Ovis aries: one gene and its partners. The protein of the gene in region 1 interacts with the protein of each later gene in a biochemical or structural test. Links are inferred from orthologs where the notes say so. Each region holds a gene or a part of one and is shown in the gene's direction. Other genes may lie near its edges.

Region 1 (5,046 bases):
GCATGTAAAGGTCAGTCAGGCGTCTGCTCTGAGGGTGCTCCGAGATGACGGTGCTCCCGAAGTACCTGCTGATGCGGAGGAGGATGTCAAGCATCAATTTCAGCGGCCGCAATGGCGCCCTCGTGTGGCTACGGCCCACACAGCATGTATGTCTTGGTGGCCTAGAAGCTATCAGTCCAGTCCAGTCGCTCAGTCATGTCCGACTCTTTGAAACCCCATGGACTGCAGCACGCCAGGCTTCCCTGTCCTTCACCATCTCCCAGAGCTTTCTCAAACTGTATATGCTGGAGGAATTTAACGTGCAGCAGTCTATGGGGTTGCAAAGATTTGGACACGACCGACGACTAACACACACACACAGACACACATGCACGCGCACACAGACACACACCGCACACGCACACACGCACGCACACACAGACACACCACATGCACGCACACACGCACGTACACGCACGTACACACATGCACGCGCGCACACGCACGTACACACATGCGCGCGCACACACGCACACACGCATGCACACACAGACACCACACACGCACGCACGCACGTACACACACATGCACGTGCACACAGACACACCACACATATGCACACACGCACGCGCACACACAGACACACCACACACGCGCGCGTGCACACACACACTGCAGCGTTTGGGAACTGGCGCCTGAAGGCAGCTTCCTTTTTGTCAGCGAGCCTGTTGGGCCTGGCCTGGTGCTCCAGGGGTTGAGACTTCACCTTCCAGCACAGGGGCTGCAGGTTCAACCCCTGGTCGGGGAACTAAGATCCCACATGCCTCTTTGCCAAAAAACCAAAAGCAGAAAATAGAAGCAACATTGTAACAGATTCAATAAAGACTTTAAAAATGAGCCACATAAACTCTTTAAAAATAATTGACGGGTCTGTACACACAGTTCCGGCACCCCCCGTGCCGTGTGCCCGGATGTTCAGGTTGCCCTCCATCTGCCTGCAGGTGATGCTGGCCGACCGGAAGGGGACCGAGGAGCTGTACGCCATCAAGATCCTGAAGAAGGACGTGGTCATCCAGGACGACGACGTGGAGTGCACCATGGTGGAGAAGCGGGTGCTGGCCCTGCTGGACAAGCCGCCGTTCCTGACGCAGCTGCACTCCAGCTTCCAGACGGCGGTGAGGGCCCGCCCCCGCCCCCCCCCCCCCCCCCGCCCCCGCCACAGGGTGCTCACGCCACACCCCAGCCCCCTCCCGGGAGAAGACGGTAGCCCACGCCCTCCTCTCCCAAGCAGACTGGGTGCCCCTGGGGACTTCAGGGCATCCCCTACTCATAGACTTGGCATTAACTCCATTTGATTCTGTGAGTGCTTCTATCAAAGGCTTTTCTAACGCGCACCAGGCAATGTGTTAAGGCTTAGAGATACAAAACGGTAACTCACAGTCCTGGCTCATTAAATCCTGGTACAGCTACCGAATTGCCATCAGAGCGTCAGGAGACCCATGTCCTGGAAGAGGATGTTCTTGGGTAATGCTCACTCAGGGGTGGCAGTCTGGCCTGTTTTGTGTGGATGGTCCCTGAGCTCTAAGAGAGGCTTTATAAAAAGAATATTATTTTGTAACACAAGAAAAGTAGATGATTTCAAGATCCATAAGTGGTTTTCTCAGGACATAGCCTGCCGCTTCACTAACCTGGCATCAGGGGCTTTTGACTGCAAAGGCACAGCTGAGTAGTTGCAAGACACACACAAAGCCTGAAACATTTCCTGTCTGGCCCTTTGCAGAAAACGTTTGCAGAGCCCTGTCACACAGGTTAACTAAAGAGGACAAAATAATTTCCACTAATCAGCCAAGTCTGGGGCATGGTGCTGGCAGGTAACCTCCAAGAAATACAAACCCTCGGATATTTATATTTGTATGTGTGTATACTGTACGCCGCACCGTAGTGAGGCGTTGCCAAAGGCAAGCTCTCCACGCCTCAGCGGCTGTCGTCCTGAACCTGTGGCTCGGTGACCCGCAGGGCCGCAGCCTGCGGCCCGGAGTGGATGGCGGGGCCGCAGAGCCAGTCCCGGCCACCAGGGGGCGGCCGGGCGCGGGCAGCCGAGTGAAGGTCCGTCTCCCAGCAGCTCCCAGCAGCGTCCGGAAGAGAATCTAGCAACACGCAAAGGAGAGGGACGAGCCCCAGCCGGGATCCTGTCACCCCGGTTCCACTGCTTAAGCTCTGGAAAGCTGCAAAGCAGAGAAATAAGGTTGAAAGGAAGGTTCATGACAGGAAGGCGAGGGGTTGAGGCTCCCAGCGCCCTCTCCTGCCTGTTGGCCCCAGCTCTGTCGTTTTCCTCCTGTGCACCGCTTCAGTGTCCAATGACCTCTGTGCATGGTGGTGCTCCCTGGAAGAGAGAGGCCAGCGTCTCCTTGCGCTGCGCTCTTAGCTCCCTCCTAAAGCCCCTCCACCTCCCATCTGTCCCGGGGTAAGGTCCTCGCAGAGGCGCAGACTCTCGGAGCTCCGTGCTGTGTGCTGCGCACACAGAGAGTCAGAAACAGCATTTGGGCGAACGTGGATGCAGAACACCCGGCGGCCTCCGCACACGCAGCCCCACCCCACGGCGGACGACCCTGGGCTCTACGGGGTACGAGCCCCCCGGCCCACCAGGTCTGCTCTCAGACACTCTGGGCAAACGCATCGCCGGCCATCACTGCACTGCCAGCCACTGGCTAAAGAACTGGCCTCTGCGGGCTCTCCACTCCAGCCCCACCTTGGAAACGAATTCTGTGTGTAGGAGAGAAGGGAGGAAGGTGTGAGGCCGCTTCCACCATTGGGAGCGTCTGTAACCAGAGGGGTGGGCAGGGCAACTGAGCGCTGAGGTTTCAGGGCATGTCCTGAGGTCCTCACACACAGGGCTTTTTACTAATTCTTTCTTGCGGGGAGAAAACTGCGACGGGCTCCGCCGGGCAGACGTGCCGGCGCGGCCCGCGTTTCCCCAGCGGGAAAGCAGAGCGCGGGCTGGAGCGGGGCCGCCGGCCGCGGGGAGCCCGCTCACCGCCCCCTCCTCGGCCCCCAGGACCGGCTCTACTTCGTCATGGAGTACGTCAACGGCGGGGACCTCATGTACCACATCCAGCAGGTCGGGAGGTTCAAGGAGCCGCAAGCAGTGTGAGTAGCTCGAGTGCTCTCAGCTCTGGAAGTGGGGCTCCGCCCAGCTTGGGGCGAAGCGCCGCTGCCTCCCCGGGGTCCGCCCGCGCGTCCCACGGAGACGGAGACTTTCGTTCTCCTCCGTCCCTGGGAGCTGCCCCGACCCCTGAGCCACTCTCTCAGGAGCTGAGCAGCGGAAGGGGCTCTGGGTGCTGCGCCCAGCAGAGCGAGGGCCTGGCTAGGAGCGAGAGAGCCTGGGGGGCCTCGGGGGCCTGACAGCATCGGGGCCTCCCGGCCAGAGGAGACGGGAGGGTGGGGGCCTGGTGTAGCACAGGTGCGGACAGCCTGCAGAAAGAGCGGAGCGGCCTTGGAGCCCCAGGGGCATCAGTGTCCTGGAGAGGCCGAGGTGACGCCCCCGTAGGCTTGGGACGGGCTGCCGTCCAGGAGGAGTTCCGGGTAGGTTTCAGTGGGGTGTGCGCACCTCGAGGCCGGGAGGCAGGAATCCGCGCCGTCAGGGAGCCGCGGGCTCCAGGGAAGACGGAGAATCTAGAGGCGGAGCCCTGACCACCTGGAGAATCAGCCCGTATTCCAGGGCCAGGAAGTCGCGGGTAACTCAGAGAGGCAAAGCCCTTTCACCCCCAGTGGAGATTTGTTGTGCCAGGAACCCCAGTTAATCACCTGAGCAAACCTCCATCCGGCTCCAGCGTTGGTTCAGTCTAAACAATAAACCCGAGCCGCTCTGGCCCACGTGGGGTGAGCCGGCCTGGGGAGACCCACCTGAGGCAGAGCAGGGCGTTCTTGCGGGCTCGCTCAAAACAAGGGCAGGGCTGCTGGTTTCTGCTTTTATTTTTCCTTTCCGTTTTCAGAAAGCTGTCCCCTGATCCCGTCTCTTATGTTGTTAGTTACAAAGCATTAAAACAAGCCAATGGCAGAGCTGAGCCTAACCACTCAGGGCTGTCGGAGCCAAGGGCAGAACAGCTTCCCTCCATCCAGAAACCATGCGCGTCCCTCTTAGTACCTTCAATTGTATCTGTGTTGCTGGAACGTTTCATATTTAAAAAAAAAAAAAAAAACAAAACAGAAAAACAGGAGAAAGCCGCAGGAAAGTCACCCGTGACCCCTGCTCTCCTCCCCACCTCCCACCGGCACTCAGAGACGGCCCCCTGTTGAGAGTGTGGCCCTTGTCATCAGGGGCCCTTCCTCCGCTCCTGTAGACACACTCGTGTAAACACGTGTGCTTACTGAAGCCTCACGAGAGTGCTGTTTGCACAGGCAGAGTCTTGTGGCTTCTCGGGCTTCAGGAACTAAACACAAGCAGATTTTAAAACCTCCTTCAGCGTTTCTTTGGAGTTTCAGACATTGATCCATTAGCAACTCTGAAGCGACGGCTGTGACTCCTTCCTATGCTGAATTATTTAAAGGGTGCACCAGGTATGAACTGTGGCCTGGGCCCCACTCCCCCAGCGCCTGGGGTGAGGCTGTGGGAGTAAGTAAGCCATTCCCAGAGTTCAGCTCACACTGACCTTTGTCTTCTAGGGCAGACGGGTGTTTTCAAACGCTAACGTATTCTGTCCTTACGGGGAAAATGGGAATTTGCTTCCATCTACTATAGCCTGACAGAACCACCTAGCAGACAGCCACTCTTAAAAGATTGTGCTCAAAATTTCTTTTAAGCGCTAAATTACCTGTCCACCTGCCCCAGACAAGAAGGGCTTGTTTTCAGACAGGTAATAAACCTGCTCCGCTGATTTTATCAGCTGTGTCGTCCCTTGGGGAAGCTGGGGTCATAAAACTGCAGAGGGTTGGCGCTGCCTGTAGGGCAGTGCTAGCCTCTGGCGGTCAGGGTCCCCCCTTCCTGTGCCATTTTGCTGCCTGATCTTGAGCGCAGAAAGTATCCAGGAGGCCGGAGGGAACAAGCCGGACGCCTGACAGACGTTTTCT
Region 2 (5,046 bases), on another chromosome or scaffold:
CTTAAGTCTCTGGCACCCAGGCTTGGCAGAGGGGACCCTGGGCACCCTGGTGTGAGCAGGCTGGACCCTGAGCAACAATGGGGGCCTTTCTCTGCCCGGGCTGGTGAGTCACCATATGGGGGGGTGTAGAGCCTGGCTCCAAGAGTTACCCCCATGCCAGCCTCTTGGACTGGTCACAGGCAGGGCTGGGAGTCAAGCGCTTGTCCAGCTCAGGGGCAGTCTGTTTGGAACTGGGGCTTGGAAGCCCCTGGAAGCCCAAGGGCCCAGCTGGGAGGCTGCAGGAAGAGCTCTGAGCCAGGCTGGAGAGAGGAATGCGAGCAATGCGCTGGGCCAGCCTGCACCCCCTCCCAGCCTGCTGCGCTGGGCCTCTCCCGGGGCCTCCCTCTGGGTGCCCAGGCCACTGGCCTCACTCTTCGGCCACTGCAGCCCCCCAGCCCGAGGGTCCAGTGCCAAGTCTGGTGCTCCTTGGACCCTGATCCTAATGCGAGGGATGTGGGCCAAATGTTAGTGGCGGGAGATGGCTGTCCTGGGTCTAGCCAGGGAGATGGCCAGTGTGGTCTCGAACCGGAAGTGACTGCATTCAGTCTGGCCTCATGGCCCCGGATGCCCCCTAGTCCTGCTTCCTGTTTGGGGGCCTTGAAAGACCTCGGCCTGGAACCATTGTGGAGGGCGTGGGAAGAGCCTCAGGGGAGGGCTGTCTCTCACACCACAGGTCACCGCAGGGGTCTGTGGAGCCTGTTTGCACGCCTGTGTTTGGATGTCTGGTCTCTGTGACTGTGTGAGGTGCCTCGGCCATCTGGGCCCGCGTCCACCTACCAGGTGTGGTCATGTCACACGTCCAGGGTCCCACACGGCCCTGGCCAGCCTCGGAACCTGTGGTCTGACAGCCCCAGCCTGAGAGTTGCCTCAGAGCCACACACCTGTGCTTGCAGCTGTGTTTGGAGAGGGCCCAGTCTGTGGGGTCCTGGAGAACCTGGGTGTCTGCCCAGCCGATCCCCTGGAGGATGGAGGAGCAGAAGCCCCAGCCCCTGGAATTTCTGGGGCAGATGGTGGCCTGCAGCAGGGGTTCCTGGGGGGCTTTGGAGATCAGGGACTCTTTGGGGATCAGGAACGGGCCCCTGGAGGAGGGGCCCAGGCTGGACTGGAAGGTGTTCCCCACCGGTAGGAAGGCCCACATGCTGGGGCAAGGTACCATCCTGTAAGGAAGGGCACTCTTGGTTCCACGGCAGGGTGGCCACAGTCAGATTTGGGGGATTTGGGGTGAGCTTGGAGGCTTGGAGGCTGGCTCTCCCAAGTGTGGCCCCCCACCTGGCCCAGTGTCCCCGGCCACACACAGGGAGGTGGAAGGCCAGGCCCCGGTGAGCACCCCCGCCCCTGCACGCACATTTGAGCCCTAAGCGCTGGGGAAACCTGAGCTGCTGGCCGCCTGCTCCCTCCGGCCACCGCCATGTTAGACTGAGCGTCGCGGCCGCTGGCCACTCAGCGCTGGTCATTGCCTTAGGCCCCGGTGGGGTCCTGGGGTCTGGCCCCTGCCTGCACGGCTCCCTGCACCCCCTGGCCCATAGCCCTACTGCAGGATGCCAGAGGTAAACGGAGGCAGGGCCCTTGGGTGTGGGTGGGCACCCTCAGGGCACCAGGAGCCCCCGGGGTCAGAGGGGCAGGTGGGAGGCAGGCCCCTCTGCTTGCTCACTGGGCTCCAGCGTGTGGGGATGGGGGCTGCTCCAGCTGCTCTGGAATGTGAAGGCAAACACAGCTGCAGCTGCTGCCACCAGCCCCAGGGAGACCTGTGGGAGTGTAAACAAAGCTGGAGCCCTACCCCAGCAGACCCACACTCGGAGTAAACAACAGGCGGGGCTGCCCTCCTGGAACAGAGACACGGGGCAGCTCACCTCGCCTGCTCCCTCCTCGGCTCGGGTCTGCGCCCAGCCCTATCCTCGACCCAGTGGATTCTCCCAATCCCACTGTAAGGCCTTTGATCGCATCACAGGCCCACTGGGGGTTTGGAAACCAAGCCTTTGTCCAAGATCCCAAAGTTGGATCATCGTAGGTGGCCTAAGCACCCCCACACCCCAGGACGGGTCTCTGAGACGAGGGGCTACCATCAGGTGGGGGTATGAGGCCAAGCGCTGCCTTGGCACCCAGCGGGGTGTGGGGTGGGTGTGGGCTGGAGGCCTCGGGCGTCAGCATCTCTCAGATGGGAGGAGGTCAGAGCTGGAACCTCACCAGGTGTCCCCGACGCCTGCAGGATGCCAACGGGCCTCTGAGGGAGCTGCGCCCAAGGCTCTGCCACCTACGGAAGGGCCCCCAGGGCTACGGGTTTAACCTGCACAGCGACAAGTCCCGGCCCGGACAGTACATCCGCTCAGTGGACCCCGGCTCCCCTGCTGCCCACTCTGGTCTCCGTGCCCAGGACCGACTCATAGAGGTACCTGCCACTGGGGCTGCGGGGAGCGGGCTGCCCTGTGTGTACCTGTGTCCTGCTGTGCGTGCCTCTGTGTGTCTGTGCCTGTGTGTGTGTGTACGCCTACGTGTCTGCCTATCCGTGTCCGTGTGTATATGTGTCTGTGCCTGCGTGCTGTGTCCATGTGTATCTATCTCTGTGTGTGTGTCTGCCCTTGCATGCCTGGTGTGTCCGTGTCTATGTGTGTGTGTGCATGTGCCTCTGTGTGCCTGTGTGTGTCCTTGTGTATCTGCACCTGCGTGACGGTAGGTGTGTCCGTGTATATCTGTGTCTGCACCTATGTGCCTGTAGGTGTGTCCGTGTCTATCTGTGTGTGTGCATGCATGTCTGTGCACTTGTATGTGTCCCTGTGTATCTGTCTGCACCTGCGTGCCTGTAGGTGTGTTCCTGTGTTATCTGTCTGCACCTGCATGCCTTAGGTGTGTCCGTGTGTGTGCATGTGCGCCTGTGCACCTGTGTCCATGTGTATCTGTGTGTTTGCACCTGTGTGCCTGTAGGTGTGTCCATGTGTATCTATCTATGTGTGTGCGCCTGCAGGCCTGTGTGTCTGTGTGTACTTATCTGTGTGTGTGCACCTGCATGCCTGTAGGTATGTCTGTGTCTGTGCGCCTGTGTCTGTGTGTATCTGTGTGTGTGTCTGCACCTGCATGCCTGTAGGTGTGTCCATATGTGTGTGCGCGCACCTGTGCATGTTCGAGTGTATCTATGTCTGCAACTGCATGACTGTAGGTGTGTCCGTGTCTATCTATCTGTGCGTGTGCATCTGTGCACCTATATGTGTCTGTGTGTATCTGTGTGTCTGCACCTGCGTGCCTGTAGGTGTGTCCGTTTATCTGTGTGTGTCTGTGCGCCTGTATGTGTGTGTATCTCTGTGTGTCTGCACCTGTGTGCCTGTAGGTGTGTCTGTTTATGTGTGTGTCTGTGCGCCTGTATGTGTGTATCTGTGTGTCTGCACCTGCGTGCCTGTAGGTGTGTCCATGTGTCCGTGTGTATCTGTGTGTGTCTGCACCTGCGTGCCTGTAGGTGTGTCCGTATGTGTGTCCGCGTGTATCTGTGTGTGTCTGCACCTGCGTGCCTGTAGGTGTGTCCGTGTGTGCGCGTGCCTGTGCACCTGTATGTGTCCGCGTGTATCTGTGTGTGTGTCTGCACCTGCGTGCCTGTAGGTGTGTCTGTGTGCATCTATCCACGTCTGTGTGCCTGGGCCCCAGGTCCTCTGCAGGAGGAAGATTCCGGGAACCTGAGCTGGTGCTCTTCTTGGTGCTGCAGCTGGTGACGGCACTGATGAATATTTGATGCCACACCTGTCCGGGTGGCTTGGGGGGCTGGTGGGGACCAGTCCCCAGGCAGCACTGACCCTGTGCTGGTGGCAGGTGAACGGGCAGAATGTGGAGGGGCTGCGCCATGCAGAGGTGGTGGCCAGCATCAAGGCGCGGGAGGACGAGGCCCAGCTGCTGGTGGTGGACCCCGAGACGGATGAACACTTCAAGCGGCTGCGGGTCACACCCACCGAGGAGCATGTGGAAGGTGAGCGGCTGCTTTGGGGCCCAGGGCTGGGGTGAAGCATCGGGGACCCGAGTGGTCAGTTACATACTGTCCCCACAGGTCCACTGCCATCGCCGGTCACCAACGGGACCAGCTCGGCCCAGGTGAGAGGGTGGGAGCAGACAGGGTGGGCTCGGGGACCTCAGGGGCACTTCTGGGAGCCCCTCCTGAGACCTCAGTCCTGGTGTCACATGGTTGTGACACTGAGCCCGGCCCTGTCACTCCCAGCTTTAAGGCCCCTTGGGTCCTGTCCGGGCCCAGCCGCACTCCACCCCACAGGGCACTCGGGCACCGCCAGCTTGCAGTCAAGGCTCAGTGCCACTGCCAGATGCAGGAGTAAATGCAGCTCTGGGGTGTGCACGTGTGTGCACACACTTGTGTCCATGTGTGCACATACGTGTGCACAGTCTCCTGGGTGGGCCCCTGAAGCCACACCTTACCCTTGGTTTCCCAGCTCAATGGTGGCTCCGTGTGCTCGTCCCGAAGTGACCTGCCCGGCTTAGACAAGGACACTGAGGTAGTGGGTGCCCCTCCACCTCCAGTGCTGCTGCTCACATGCTGGGGGGCCTGAGGCCTTGGGGGCGGGCATCTGTGGAGCTGTCAGCCTGAGCCGTGAGGCCGCCGCCTCTAGGAAGCCTTCCTGGGCCTGCTGCCAGGTGGCCTCTGGCGCCAGCTCCCTGGGGAGGGCCACCTGCCTGGGGGCTGGGGTCCAGGGCTCACTGGCCACCTGCCCACCGTGTCCACCCCTAGGATGGCAGCACGTGGAAGCGAGACCCTTTTCAGGAGAGCGGCCTTCACCTGAGCCCCACAGCAGCTGAGGCCAAGGAGAAGGCGAGAGCCACCAGGGTCAACAAGCGGGCACCACAGATGGACTGGAACCGGAAGCGCGAGATCTTCAGCAACTTCTGAGCCCCCTGCCTGCTCCCCACCGGCTCTTCCCCACGGGCCTGGGCCTTGCCCTTCGGACTGCCCAGAGCTCCCCACGCCCCGGTGGACTGGAGGGGGCATCCTTACCCCTAAGCTGGGGTGGTCCCACCACCACC
Region 3 (5,046 bases), on another chromosome or scaffold:
TTTCCTTCCTTTTATTTTTAAGTTAGGCACAACAGTGGTGACAATAATAATGATTAACAGTTTGATTTCAAAACGCTTTCTAAAGAAATCACAGTAAACAAAGTCTGTTTGCCTAAGGAAACCCTCGCAGCAATCAGCTAGTCACACAACCGCGTGTGCTAATGAACCCAAAGCTGTTAATGTGGTTTCTTCAGTTAAATTGATTCATGAATTTTGAAGAGAACATTATCTAATGAATTTTCTTTGAATAGAAAGCAATTAAAAGGACAAATCAGTCTGATTAACCCCAAAGTCACCCTCCTGCCACAAACGGTGCAGAGTTTGAAATTATATCATAAAAAACTAGAGCACATTCGCTATCTTTCTGCCCTCTACTAATCCATGTAAATTAATGAACAACAAAGTCAATTTCTTCGCTGACCCTTTTCTAGTATCACCTGGATTATGCTGATGTTTAATTTGCTTAATGTTATAATAAAGACTAAACAGATTTTTTTCCCAGTGAAGTGATTATCATTCCTTTCAGTTAAGAAGTGATTTTTATTATTTAACACGCGTGTAAGGGTGTGTTTCCTTTAAGAACCAAATCGCACTTGGCCAGCTTGGCATGAAGTGTAATTAGTGCTGTTCTGGACCCAGGATCTGCCCGTGGAATCCTTCCCTTTGTCGCTGTGTCGGGCGCTCCTGCCCTCGCCTTGGAGAGGGGGGTGGTGGACAGCTCCCTGTCCCATGCTCGCGGGCACGCGTCTTCTGGGGAAAGATGAGAGGCCTCGAATGAGACGGCCCGGCGCGTGCCCACCTCTGCAGTGCCCTGCCCACCTGGGATCCCTCTGAGCCACAGCCAAGGGAGGGGCTGTCCTGTGTCCTCCTCTTCACCCTTCACCCCTGCAGCAGCTTGACGTGACTGCTCATTAAAATGGGGGTAAGGCTGTTTTATCTTTGCAGTTCTGCTCCTTGCAGATGCCTGGAGCCAAGGTCACCGCCAGCCTCGTGGGCCGTGGTGTCTGGCATCCTCAGCCTGCTCGCTCTTGGGTGTGGAGGCTAAGCTAGCGTCAGACCGTGGTCCAGCCCACGGCCTCCTTTTCCTTCTGCATCCCAGCTGTAGTCGAGACTGAGCAAGCAGTACAGAGCTTCCAAAGTTGGTGCGCACTCAGGGCCTTCTATGTGTGAAGTGAGCCATGTGCCGACCCACACCCGCGCGGGCCCCAGGAGAGCGCACCGCAGGCCCACGTGGGGCTCTGGGGAGGTGGGAGGGCGAGCCATCTGTGCTACCCGCTGGCGAGGCCTGTGGAGGTGCTGGCCCGCCCTCGGCTCGCCTCCCGCGCGTCCTCCTCGTCAGTGACGTGGTGGCAGGACCCCGTGCGGAGCTGGGTTTTAATTAAGTCACACCTCTGTGTACGCTGTTGCGTTTTCTCTTTCAGGGCTGGCAGCTATTTGTATCTTAGCTGTTGGAGCCGTTTGTCCCAATAACGTCATTTGCTTTCTCCCTTTCAGAGTCATTCACCAGACAGGTGTTATGGAAGCTGCTGAAGCTTGTGAAATTCGGAGAAACGGTTTCTTACCAGCAATTAGCAGCCCTGGCGGGCAACCCCAGAGCAGCGCGGGCCGTGGGAGGAGCCATGAGGAGCAACCCTGTGAGTGTGTGGCCGCGGTCAGCGGGGTGTCGGGGCGAGTGTCAGAGGCAACCTGGGCTGCTGGGGAGGAGAGGAGGTGTTCACGTCAGGGCCTCTGGAAGGGGGTCGTCCAGTCTCGGAAGGCTGTGGTGTGGGCCTGGCCAAGGCCACACTCGCCTGAGGACCCTGCAGGGGGTGGGAAGGGCACCCCATCCACACAGCAGCTCGGCCTCTGGGAGCCCTCACACGATTGCACGGGGCCCTGGAACGTCTCCGGTGTCGTTAGTCTGCAGTGCCCACCAGACCTGGGCGCTGTGGCCCCGTGACACGCTCTCCAGACCCCAGTGCTGTCACTCAGGGACAGCCTCTCCAGACCCGGGCGCTGTCGCCCTAGGAGGGTCTCTGCAGACCTGGGCGCCATCGCCCTGGGACAGTCACTCCCTGAAGCGGTAGGGACTCTGTAACATGGTGGGAGAGTGCCATCCAATCAGGAAAAGCCAGCAGATGGTCACATCGCGGGGCGGGGAGCTACTCCAATACGGTTTCCGTCCATGCTCGCTGGGGAGAGGCGGGGTTTGCCCAGCATGGCCCGCGGCCCCCTCCCCTCAGCTGGTGGCCCCGGGACAGGGCCGGTGTTTTGAGAGGGCGGCCACTCGGCCTTCCACACAGAACCGCACCGTTGTGGGCGCAGGGGCGGCTCCTGTGGGTGGCGTGAGCTGTTGTAGTGTCCGTTTGCCTGGAGAAGAGTCTGCGTCCGTGTTAAACACCCCAGACTGTCAGGAGCAGTGCGCGGCAGATGACAGCACCGCCACCTCGCAGGCCGCGAGCCCCGCGCGGCAGGGGCTGGGGGAGTGGGTTGGTGTCGTGTTTGCCTCTCTCGTGCTTCCATCGCAGCGTCCCCGTGTGTCAGTCACACACGCCATCTCCACAGGCTGCAGGCCTCGTTTGCGTGGCACACGTGGGTGACCCTGGATCAATTTCCAGGGGTAACTGTTGAGGCTTCCCAGTGACGCTGACGTGGCTCCTCTCCTCTGGAGGCCCCCGCCTTCTCCCAGGTCACTCTGTTAGACAGTGTGACCCCACCCCGTGCTGTGTGTCCACGCAGGGCCTCTGGGTGAGCTCTGGAGGTGCCTGCTCCCTGCATCCCAGGGTCCCCGAGCTGTGTAGAAATTCTCCCGTCTGTCTGCACTCCATTCATGCCCTGGGGATGCTTGGTCCTTCTGCTCCTCTCCCTGAGGGCCTTCCCCTCCCTGAGGCTGGCCTTTCATCCCAGCACTGCCTGCCCCCTCGGCACGTGCAGCCCCGCTCACTGGCGTGCACAGCAGCCCACACCTGCCCCTCGTGACACCCGCAGTTCCCCACTTTCTGAAGTGGCCAGGCCGTGGCTGCTGGCGACAGCGCGTAAGGCAGCATTCAGAAACCTTCACTGTCCTGCAGGCAGCAGGACTGCCTCCTCCTGCTGTTGATCTCTGTGACTGTGTCTGCTCAACTGTGGCCCCAGCCCCTGACATCTGTAAAGCAGGCTCTCACGGGGCCTGAGACGCTTCTGTCCATGCAGTCCCTGTCCTGACGTCCCCATGGGCGCGTGCCCAGGTGGCCTGAGGACACGGGGAGGATCCTGCCTGCACCGTGGCCCCTCATGGTGGTGCCGTCCCATGACAAGGGTGGTGCGGTGGCTGTGAGCCACTGGCCTTGCCCTGGGCATCCCTCTGTTGCAGGGCACTGCCTGGCCTCACACAGGAACCCCAGCCTGACCAGAAAGTTGCAGAGGACCCAGTAGATGCCTCCAGGGGTAGCTCAGAAGAGCTGGGGTGCTCCCGGAAGGAGACAGCCTGCGTGCCTTGCAGCTGGGCCAGCTCAGCAGAGTCAGCCGTGCTCAGAGGTCTTTGGATCATCCATAGAGCAGGCTGAGGGGTCCTAAGGGGACCCAGGTAAGTGAAGGGATAAGGGGCCGACCCAGTGGACACGTCCCCCTTCTCATGCCGACGGCAGAGTCCAGCCACAGAGCCACACGTGGGCACAGGGAGTGTGGCCTGGAGATATACGCAATGAAGCCATCTCTGTGTTCAGGAGGAGCGTGACAGACAGATGGACGCAGAAGCTGCAGGACACCCTGGCGCTTATGGTGCGCCCATTCCATGTCCGGCAGTAAACAAGGACGCGCCGGCCCCCGTGATGGCCTGTGCTTGAGGCGTGGGCTGCTCACCTGCAGACTGAGGGGTGGTGTCTGCTGCTGGGGGGGTTTCAGCCCACCCCAGGCCCTTGGTTTTTCCAGAATTTTCCATGAATGGATTAATAGCCCAGGTGTAATGACTTGGCAGCCCTCCAGAATGCCCTGTCCCAGACCCAGCCCTGGGGCGGCAGTCTTCTGGTGAGGCAGGTTGACAAGGGCTCACACCCTGCCTGATAAAGCCCCTTCCTGTTCATCCTCAGAATTTGCTAAATGCAGTTCAGAAGCAATCAATACTTGGCAGAGAGTTTCCCCACCTTTTCCTAAACAAGTGCATTCCTGAGGAGTTCGTTTATTCGCAGATCGCCACGAGCCTCAGTGACCCCCGAGTCTTGTCCTGCCAGTCACCCAGATGGCTGTTGATAAAGACTTAGCTTCATGTTCTAAGTGTCAGGGCTGTCAGTGGGGCTGAACCATTTGACCAGAAGAAAAAAACGCGCAGGGAGCTATTGATTACAGCTTCTCAGTGTCACTTGTTCACCAGGATTTAGGTATTGATGAGGCCGCAAGTGAAAACAAGCTCTTTCCCTTGTGGGCTGCTGCCCACAAGAACAAAGGCAAAGCTGGAGAAAATATTCAGCCAGCACCAGAATCAGAGGGATTCCATTATTGATTGAAAGGCCCCTTCATGTTATTTTTGTTGGAGACAAATCTATGGGTTTGGAAGTTTTATAGCATTCGAGAAAGGGTCTGTGTAAGTGATGGATTCATGTATTGGATGAATTAGATTTCACAGCGTGAAGATTTCAGTGCAGCCGTGATATTATGAGCTGCTTGGTTATTGATGAAGATTACATCTCATGCAGCACAGGCTTTAAAGGAGAGGGCATGGAGGGTGTGGATCCTTTGGAATGTCCTTAGGGCCACAGTGAAGTTTAGCAGGTTTCATTATTTTAACAGTCTGGAGCCTGCCACTGAAATTGGCACGAGCAGAAGCAGTGTTCCCGTTTCTGGAGGTGAGACTCGTGTGTGTTTGGTCAGTCACCAGTTCCCATCAAAGATGAAGACTGACCGTAGCTGTCTCTGTAACTGCTACTCCAGGCCACCAGGCTGTCATCTGCATGGTGCTTAGAAAGAGAGGGCCGCGTTACACACTCACAGTCCGTAGCTTGTTGGGCAAGAGGGAAGAAAAGCAGAGCTTGTGTGTGAAGTCTGCTGTTCGGGAGGAAAATTGAACTGGGGCCGAAATATTTATAAAACTAA

Evidence for each region.
Region 2: the proteins of PRKCA (region 1) and NHERF2 form a complex in vitro, tested with the Homo sapiens proteins (2 studies listed by BioGRID and IntAct, with this or other methods). The link is inferred for Ovis aries from reciprocal best matches to the Homo sapiens genes PRKCA and NHERF2.
Region 3: of the proteins of PRKCA (region 1) and MGMT, one has a biochemical effect on the other in vitro, tested with the Homo sapiens proteins (2 studies listed by BioGRID). The link is inferred for Ovis aries from reciprocal best matches to the Homo sapiens genes PRKCA and MGMT.

The regions. Positions count from the first base shown.
Region 1 is NC_056064.1:62,092,413-62,097,458, forward strand, and holds part of PRKCA (protein kinase C alpha type), read left to right. Parts: intron 1-980; coding exon 981-1,154; intron 1,155-3,034; coding exon 3,035-3,126; intron 3,127-5,046. UniProt on the Homo sapiens protein: Calcium-activated, phospholipid- and diacylglycerol (DAG)-dependent serine/threonine-protein kinase that is involved in positive and negative regulation of cell proliferation, apoptosis, differentiation, migration and adhesion, tumorigenesis, cardiac hypertrophy, angiogenesis, platelet function and inflammation, by directly phosphorylating targets such as RAF1, BCL2, CSPG4, TNNT2/CTNT, or activating signaling cascade involving MAPK1/3 (ERK1/2) and RAP1GAP.
Region 2 is NC_056077.1:2,104,883-2,109,928, forward strand, and holds part of NHERF2 (Na(+)/H(+) exchange regulatory cofactor NHE-RF2), read left to right. Parts: intron 1-2,245; coding exon 2,246-2,425; intron 2,426-3,831; coding exon 3,832-3,985; intron 3,986-4,063; coding exon 4,064-4,107; intron 4,108-4,457; coding exon 4,458-4,520; intron 4,521-4,753; coding exon 4,754-4,912; 3' UTR 4,913-5,046.
Region 3 is NC_056075.1:48,587,973-48,593,018, forward strand, and holds part of MGMT (methylated-DNA--protein-cysteine methyltransferase), read left to right. Parts: intron 1-1,494; coding exon 1,495-1,634; intron 1,635-5,046. UniProt on the Homo sapiens protein: Involved in the cellular defense against the biological effects of O6-methylguanine (O6-MeG) and O4-methylthymine (O4-MeT) in DNA. Repairs the methylated nucleobase in DNA by stoichiometrically transferring the methyl group to a cysteine residue in the enzyme.